Linked DNA regions of Sus scrofa. The protein of the gene in region 1 binds, or shares a complex with, the protein of each later gene. Links are inferred from orthologs where the notes say so. Each region holds a gene or a part of one and is shown in the gene's direction. Other genes may lie near its edges.

Evidence for each region.
Region 2: the proteins of CSK (region 1) and PAG1 are in contact, whole or in part, in an NMR structure (PDB 2RSY), measured with the Rattus norvegicus proteins. The link is inferred for Sus scrofa from reciprocal best matches to the Homo sapiens genes CSK and PAG1. Residues at the interface, in NP_001025210.1 of Rattus norvegicus: Thr88, Arg89, Glu93, Arg107, Ser109, Thr110, Asn111, Tyr112, Thr117, Cys122, Glu123, Lys125, Val126, Glu127, His128, Tyr129, Arg130, Ile140, Asp141, Tyr156, Asp161, Gly162; in NP_071589.1 of Rattus norvegicus: Phe291, Ser292, Leu294, Tyr296, Lys297, Ser298, Arg299, Glu300, Glu301, Leu305, Ile310, Met313, Tyr314, Ser315, Ser316, Val317, Asn318, Lys319.

Annotation. Positions count from the first base shown.
Region 1 is NC_010449.5:58,752,532-58,756,436, reverse strand, and holds the start of CSK (c-src tyrosine kinase), read left to right. Parts: upstream 1-1,402; 5' UTR 1,403-1,777; intron 1,778-3,905. UniProt on the Homo sapiens protein: Non-receptor tyrosine-protein kinase that plays an important role in the regulation of cell growth, differentiation, migration and immune response.
Region 2 is NC_010446.5:55,449,999-55,453,811, forward strand, and holds the start of PAG1 (phosphoprotein associated with glycosphingolipid-enriched microdomains 1), read left to right. Parts: upstream 1-825; 5' UTR 826-1,344; intron 1,345-3,813. UniProt on the Homo sapiens protein: Negatively regulates TCR (T-cell antigen receptor)-mediated signaling in T-cells and FCER1 (high affinity immunoglobulin epsilon receptor)-mediated signaling in mast cells.

The DNA of each region.
Region 1 (3,905 bases):
CCACCACAGTATGCCCCTCCCCTCTGCCCACCCAAACCAGACTCTTCCTTCAGGGCCCAGTCCCTAGGATAGTGCCCCCCCACCCCCACCTACACTGGAGTCTCTGGTCTTTCCACCATCACTGCCCTGCCCCCAAAACTGTATGCTCCCCCCCCCCCCCACATGCACATCAGCTCCTGTAGCTCAGAGCAGATGACATCCTGTTAACTGTAATATATAATAACAGGCAATACTTGGCTAAGGACTGACCATGTGCCTGCCACTGCATGCTAAGCTCTTTAAATGTATTAACTCATTTCCTCCCCACAAAACCTTAAGAAGTTGGTGCTGTTACTTTCCCTGTTTGGTAAACTAGAGCCCAGAGAGGTTAAGTAACTTTCCCAAGGTCACATAGCTACTGACAACTTCCTCATTGCTGCCAGGCTTTTCGAAAACAAAGTCCAAGAAAAGTCCCATCAGTCTTTTTGGATCTCTTTTGTCTCCGCGGCTGTCGGGGACGCCATCTCCCAGGACTCTCCTGGACCCACACTGCAAACTGCAGCCATACTGAGCTATTTACAGTTCCCAGAGCCACCAAATGGCTCTCACCTCTCCCTACCTTTGTCCATGCTGTTCCTTCTGCCTGGGGTCCCAGCTTTATGAAGATTGCCCATTACCCTTCCCTCTTTTCTGCTTCTTGTGGACCTGTACACACTTCTTCACTTTTATCAATTATTTCTTAGCGCTTGTCTGCTGGCCTGCCAGTTCTGGGAACTCCTTGGCAGTAATGAAGCGGTCTTCATTACAGGGCCTGTCGCAACATCAGCGCCAGGAAACACCTATGAATGAATGAATGCTGCTGCGAGCGAGACCCATTCTCCACAAAAAGATACGAGAAGAAGGAGGTCGCTTCTGCATAGGGAGAGCTGTTCCCCAGGGAAGTTTTGGCGTTTGCTCCAAGGCGGACTGTTCGGCCCTCAGTGAGGGACCTTCTGAAGCCTTCGACGCGGGCGGGCAGGTGGGGGCAGGGCTTGGGCGCGGACACACCCCCCGCAGTGCCCCGGGATCCCGACAGAGGGCGCTGTCCTCCCGCCAGCCCACGCCCCGCCGTGCTCCCGGCTGGCTCCCTCGCGCAGGCGCGCTGCCGCGGGCGGAGGATCCGGGGCCGCGCTTCCTCTCGCCAGGCCTGCGAGCTTCCTCCCAGCGGAGCCCAGGGCGAGCCGAGCTTGGCCGCCGCCGCTGAGACCGCCGCCGCCCTCTCGCTCCCGCCCCACCCCGCACCCTGTCCGGAGGTCCTGCCGGGGTGGGGTCCGAGCTGGGCCATCGCCCGGCAGCGCCGCCGTCGGGGCTATCCCCCGGCCAGCCGTCCCTCCCGCTCCAGGCAGCCTCTGGCCGCAGGAGTCTCCGGGGCGTGGAACGTGGAGAGACCCTGCGGCCCCCGAGCCAGCGTCCGGGGCAGCCCGGGGCAGCCGGCGCGACGTCCCCAGATCGAGCCTTGGTGTCGGCGTTTGGAAGCGGAACTCTGCCGGGGCCTCACCGGCTACATTGTTTCCTCCCCCTGAGTCCCTCCCGCCCCCCTTCCCCCGCCTTTCTTCCCTCCCCGACCCGGGCCGCGCAGCCATCCCCCTGCCTCTGTCTGGCCGTCCTTCCTCCCCCTCCTTTCGCACCCAGACCTCTTTGTACCGCACCCCCCGGGGACCCCTGCGCCCCTCCCTTCTCGGCTGGCCGCATGGACCGTCCCGCAGGCCGCTGATGCTGCCCGCAGCGAGGTGGCCCGGACCGCAGTGCCCCGAAAAAGGTGAGTGTCTGGCAGGCCCTGAAGGAGGTGGGCGTCCGAGTGCTTCCCAAGGGGAAGACGGGTGGAGGTTGTACGTCCCGCTTCTGTTGCTTCTGTTGCAGCTGCCGTGGCGTCCACACCCATCCCCCACTCCCTTACCCCCTCCTTCCCGGGTTCGAAATCTCCCGGGAGTCACTGTCAGCCCGTCTGGGAGGGGGGCTCACGAGGGAGGTACTGCCCTCCCAGCCCCTCAGACTTGTCTCAGGCCACCCGGAGTCTGTCCTTTCCCCGTATTGGGGCTGGCTGGAGCGGAGGGGAAGGGGTCAGCGTGGACCAGAGCCCAGGAGAATGGGCTGTTTGCCATTCCCTGCCCAGGGCCTCCCTGCAGGCCTGCAGGTTTTTTGGCCTGCCTGGTTCTGACCCCTCCTTCATTCCCTCTGCGGAGGCCCAGGGTCCAGCCGCCTCCCTTGAGCCTGCCAGAGGTTGAGCTTATCATCTTCGGACTTTTAGAAGACCAGGCCTAAGCCCAGGGACATCTGACCCTTGGGTGGGAAACTAGGCAGGGCCTCTGGCCTCGGTGGAGGTGACACTGGGCATTAGGAGGTGGGTCCCCACCTCCTAGCGTCCTGGTCAGCCCTTTCTGTTCTCCCAGGCTCGTTGGAGGCCAGGCCAGTTGTCAGGAAGGGGTGTGTCCAGCTACCAGATCCTTGGAGCTTAACTAAGGGTTCACCTCCCCTCCCATTTTGTAGGCTGGGGGGCTGAGGCTCAAAGGGGGAAGTTGCTATCCCAGGCCTTTGGCAGAGTTAGGCTGTCTGTCCCTCCGTCATCCATCCCCTCCCACCACCACCCCACAACACCTGGACTGCTATGGGTACAGGGAAACCAGGCATAAGCCTTTACCCACTGGGGCCATAAGCCCCCAGCCTGGCCCATGGGACCTTGTGGGGTGAGCACGTGCTCCCCTGCAGAGGGCTAGAGAGGAGGGAGAGGGCTTCCGGTGACGGTTCTGCCTGGGTCTGGGCTCAGACCGAATCAGCACTGCCCATGGGATTTCCCTCTGGTGCTTGAGGCTGGGTCTTACTGACGGGAAGTGGCATGCGGGGGCACCCGTGGGGTGTAGCCCTGGTGCTGAGCTGAAACAGCCTGATCGTCATTCCTGACCCTTTGGCCCAGCTGGTATAGGAGCATGAATGGATCTGGATGCAGAATGTGAGAGCCCTGTGTCCACAGGGAGCAAGCCTCGTATAGCCTTGGCATAGGAGCATTGTCAGAGCGAGCACACCCAGGGGGTCTCTTCCAAGCTCCCCACACCCTGATGGTCCCAATGTCTTTCTCGGTGGGGCCCCGCAGGAACAGGGTGAAGGCAGCAGGAAGAAGATTGGGACTGTGGCAGCATCCTCTGGCTCCTGGAAGTGTGGGAGGTTCCCTGGAGGATACTGAGCCATATCTGGGGCCCCTCGGGGCATCTGGCAGTTTTGTCTTGCTTAGGCCTCTGCCCTTGATTTAGAGTTGTTTCCGGTTGCCCTGACATGCATGGTGGAGGGGATACAGATGTGGTGGGCCGGTGAGGCTCCCCTCACCCAACCCTAACTTCCTTTCCAGCCTGAGGGTCTGGGGCTGAAGCCTGACATCATTGGGTGCCTTTATACCAACTGTTGAGTGCAGCCTGGGGTCCCGAGGCCCTTGTAGAAACTAGGGGTCTGTCTTCTGGCAAACATATGTGCAGGGATTCCCTTTTTATCTGGCCACCTTGGTGCCTTCCTCCTTGCTCTTCTCTCTGCGTCGGGGGTCTGGGACAGAGAAGGACCAGAAGATGGTCCCCAGCACCACTGCAGGGGACACCAGGCCCCAAGGGGTTGAGCCACCCCAGAGCAGACCAGACTGCAGGCAGAGACAGAAACAGAGGACCAGGGCCTGCAGAGTGACGTGGCTGCCCCCACAAGCCTGAGCGGGCAGGACAGCTTGGGTCCAGTTCTGGGCTCCAGCTCTTGGGGGATTTTGAAACCTTGGCTCATGGTCCCAGAGAGACACTCCAAAGGTTTGGGGTCTGGGCAAGAGAAATTAAGGAGGGAGCCTCATGTGCTGAGGTGCTGTCCCAAGCTGGAAAGGCCCTCCTTTCATAGATGTCCCAGACACCAGGCCAGAGCTG
Region 2 (3,813 bases), on another chromosome or scaffold:
ACAACACTTATATCAGATCACCTTGAGTCCTCCTTAGGAATGGAATTCCAGAACCCCAGCTTTGCCCAGCGGTTGAACTGCAACCAGTGTGGGTAGGGCCTAGGAATATGCTCTGCATTTAAAAAAAAAAAAAAAAAAAAAAAGCTACTCAGGTGATTTTTGCGCAGACCAGGAGCTCTGCTCCAGATTCTAGACCACACTTACAGAAGCAAAGATTAGGTGGTCTGGACCTGCAGCGCTGGCATCATCTGAAAGCTTGTTAGAAATGAAGAATCTCCCCTTGCACCCCAACTTACTGAATCAGAACCCGACTTTTTAACAAAATCCCCAGAAGATTCTGTCATACATTAAAAGTTTGAGAAACTTTGCTGAACCCCAGTATTAACCTGGGAAGCTTTACCACCTAATGGTACCTGGGCCCCATCCTGAGAGTCTCAGGTACTTACTTACTAGTCCAGATTCTGGGGTGCGGCCAGGGCAAAAGGGCTCTTAAGACCTCCCTAAATTATTTTAATGTACAGCCAAGGTACATTGTCCCCTAAACAACCTGAGTTAAATTGGCTTTTGTGGGCTGGCCCTCCGCGCCCTAAAAATCTCTTAGAGTAAACAGTGGTTTTGAAAGGACAATGAACTCTGGTGACAAACAAGTTCAACCACACAGCTTGAGGTTCACAAAACCCTGGGCGGGAGACTTCCTGTATCTCCCCGAGAGGGAGCAGGACGCCGCGCCCGGGTCCGCCCCGCACCCCCACCCAGCCCCGCCCGGCTCGCCCCCTCCCCGCCCCGCCCTCCTCGGTGACGTGCCGCAGCGGGCCGGGCTCATGCGCACTCGCGCCCGGCGCCCCGCACCGCTGCACCGCCTCGGCGCTTGTCATTCTCCGCGGCGCCGAGGCGAGTGCCGACTGCGGTGCCTGTCCGCCAGCTTGTTCGCTCGCTCGCCCGCCGGCGCGCGGGCTGTGTGACGGATCGCTGGGGAACGGGCTGGCAGCTCTACCCCCTGCAACAGCTCTTCGGTTTTTTCCTTGACCGCCTTCCTTGTTGAGTCGCGATTCCCTGGGAGCAGGAGACACGCACCAGGGGCTCGGAGCGCCGCACTCCAGGGCTGGGGCAGCTGCAGCGCTCGGGACTGCGCGGCCGGGTGCAGCCTCTGTCGCTGTCGCCGCCGCCGCGCGGTGCGCCTTGGCGAGTGTTGGGCTCCGGGCATCTCGGAGCCCAGGCAGCTGGTGCAGAGCGCCAGCGCCTCTCCCCGCACTGGCCGCCGCCGGGGCAGTGCGGAGCCAGCCAGGCTGTGCACAGCCGGAGCGCGGGTCCCCCCGAAGAAGGCTCCCTATCGCCTGCGTCCCAGTAAGTTGACTGTAGTTTCTGAAGTTGGAGAGCGCCGTGGGAAGGGGAGGTTCGCTTTTACTATCTTCACGCCGTGGGAAGCCGGGGGTGGCCCCTCTTGTTAGCAGGGTTCCAGCTTGGGGAGTTCAGGGTGCGAAGCCGTGGACAGAGCGCGCGGGGAGAGGCAGCGGTGCAGCGCGGGCTGGCTCCAGCCTTTGCTGAACGTGCCAGTTGGAAATGTGCTGTGAGAGGACAGGTGCTCCGAGGGCATTTCGCCTGCTGCTGATTGCACATTCCGACCCCATTGAATGTGTGTGTGTGTGTGTGTGTGTGTGTGTGTGTGAGAGAGAGAGCGTGCGGGGTGGGGGGGGGCGGTTCTTGTCACCTCCATCCCAGGTCCCCAGGGGAGTGACTCCAGTAATATTCCTGGGTGCATTCGCTCTTTGGGGATGGGAGCTAAGTCATTCCTTCTCAGGCTTCCAGGCTTCCAGGCTTCCAGGCTTCCCGGCTTCCCGCGCACATCCCACTTTACTCTTCCCCCTAGGCAGAAGTTGCCACCGTTTCCGTAATTGGAGCCCAATCCTTCAAGGAAAAACAACTTATATATCAACCCAGACTTTTGCGCCATAAGGCAGATAAAATGAGAAATCGGCGCAGTGTATGTGATTTCATACACTGTAAGGATGTGGGCAAGTCTCAAAGCAGTGGAATTGAGATGATGACACTTGGGTCTCACCCTGACTGTCCTGCACCTCTTATGTAAGCCTCTCGGCAGGATAACTGTGACTCTCTGCAGTGGCTGCAGCTGTGGCTCTTCATTCCATTTGTTTAAAGTCCAGCTTGAATGTATTTAATGAAAATGCTGACATGATATAGCGCCCTGTAGTCTGAAACAGAGTGCACTCTTCGGATTGGAGTGTCTTCTCCTAATAGGGAGCGTTCGAGGAAAAACCCAGTATATTTTTCAAGGCAGCTCCAGGAATTAGACACATAAATCATGTTTTAAAATAGCAGGCATTGTGCAGGGAGCTTGCAGAGGACCCTTTGAACACATCCCTTTTGTTTTAGAAAAAGTGGAAATTGTTCATACCAGGCAGTTGTTGAGTCTGAAAGTTAAGTGTTCTGATGGGCTTAATTATCTTAATAAACAAAGAGCATGATTTATAGGTAGCTGCCCTGGCCTTCTTTGAAGGATAGAATTCTTTAACCTTTCTCTCTCATCTGTCCCCCAGAGATTTCTTTTAAGCAGAACAATAGATTATCATCACTGATGTTTAATATTGGAGTTGATTAAATTTGTACAAGGAATACTTTGAAATACCACGAGGTACTGCTGTGACTGTTAAGACAGAGAATATTAGAAATAAGGAGACTTCAGGTTTTTTTTGGTATGGAAGTCATTAGTTTAACAAAACAAATAACATTAAGACTGGCCTAATATATCTTTTTAAAAATTTGGACTTGTAATAAACGTTGAAACCAAAAACTCAGGGTTGTGTTTTAGTGTAAGGTTTATTTACGTAATCTCGACAAAAAGAAGCACATTTATTTATGGTATTCTAGCACATGGAACAAGATGAACTAGTTAGAGGCACCTCATTTAAAAACATATCATCGTTTTTTAAGGAAGTCTAAGAAAATACACAAAATGTTATTTCAAAAGTTGCAAAGTTAGTCAACACATTATAATTGATGAGAGCATCTGCTGCTTATCTCTAGAAGGGATTATATCTGAGCATGGAAGCTGAAACAAGTGGACCCCCATATGCACTCCTTCATCATGGTTCTGAGGACAGACTGGGGAGCCATGCCGATGGCTCTGGTGCCATCTGTTTGAATCTGGACAAGTTACTTAAACTTTGTGCCTCAGTGTCTTCATCTGTAAAATGAGGCTAATGGTACCTCCATCACTGGCTTGTGGTGAGGATTGAGTTCATAGAGGTAATGCCACTGAACCAGTGTCTGGCTTATTAAACTGGGTAAAAATGATCACTGTTAAGAAAGGAAGAGTGTCTTTGGATCCTGCAGCCATCAAATGGTTGCTGAAGAAGGCTAACAGAAGCAGTTCATATGTTTAATAGGAGAGCAGGTACATTTATTCAACACCTCCTGGTAATGCAGACACCAGCTGGCATCTGACTTACTCTCCCTTTTAATTCCTCACCGAGGTAGGTGGCTTCATGGCCACTCTGGAGATGAGGAAACTGGAGCTCAGCAAGATCAAATAGGAGAAATCGCAGCTCAAATTTTAACCCAGGTCTGTCTCTTTCCAATCCTGTCCTTTTTGGCCCAAGTTGAGGACTTGCGCAGTGCTTTTTCCATCTCTTCTCCTTTCATCCTCATAATAACATAATTAAATATGTGCATCCTTATCTTGAACTTACAGATGAGGAAATTTGCGTTGAGCAGTAAAGAATGCAAAGTGCTTAACTCACAGCAGAGTTCTCCATGACTTGGAGGGATTATTATTGTCATAATTAGCACGGGGTA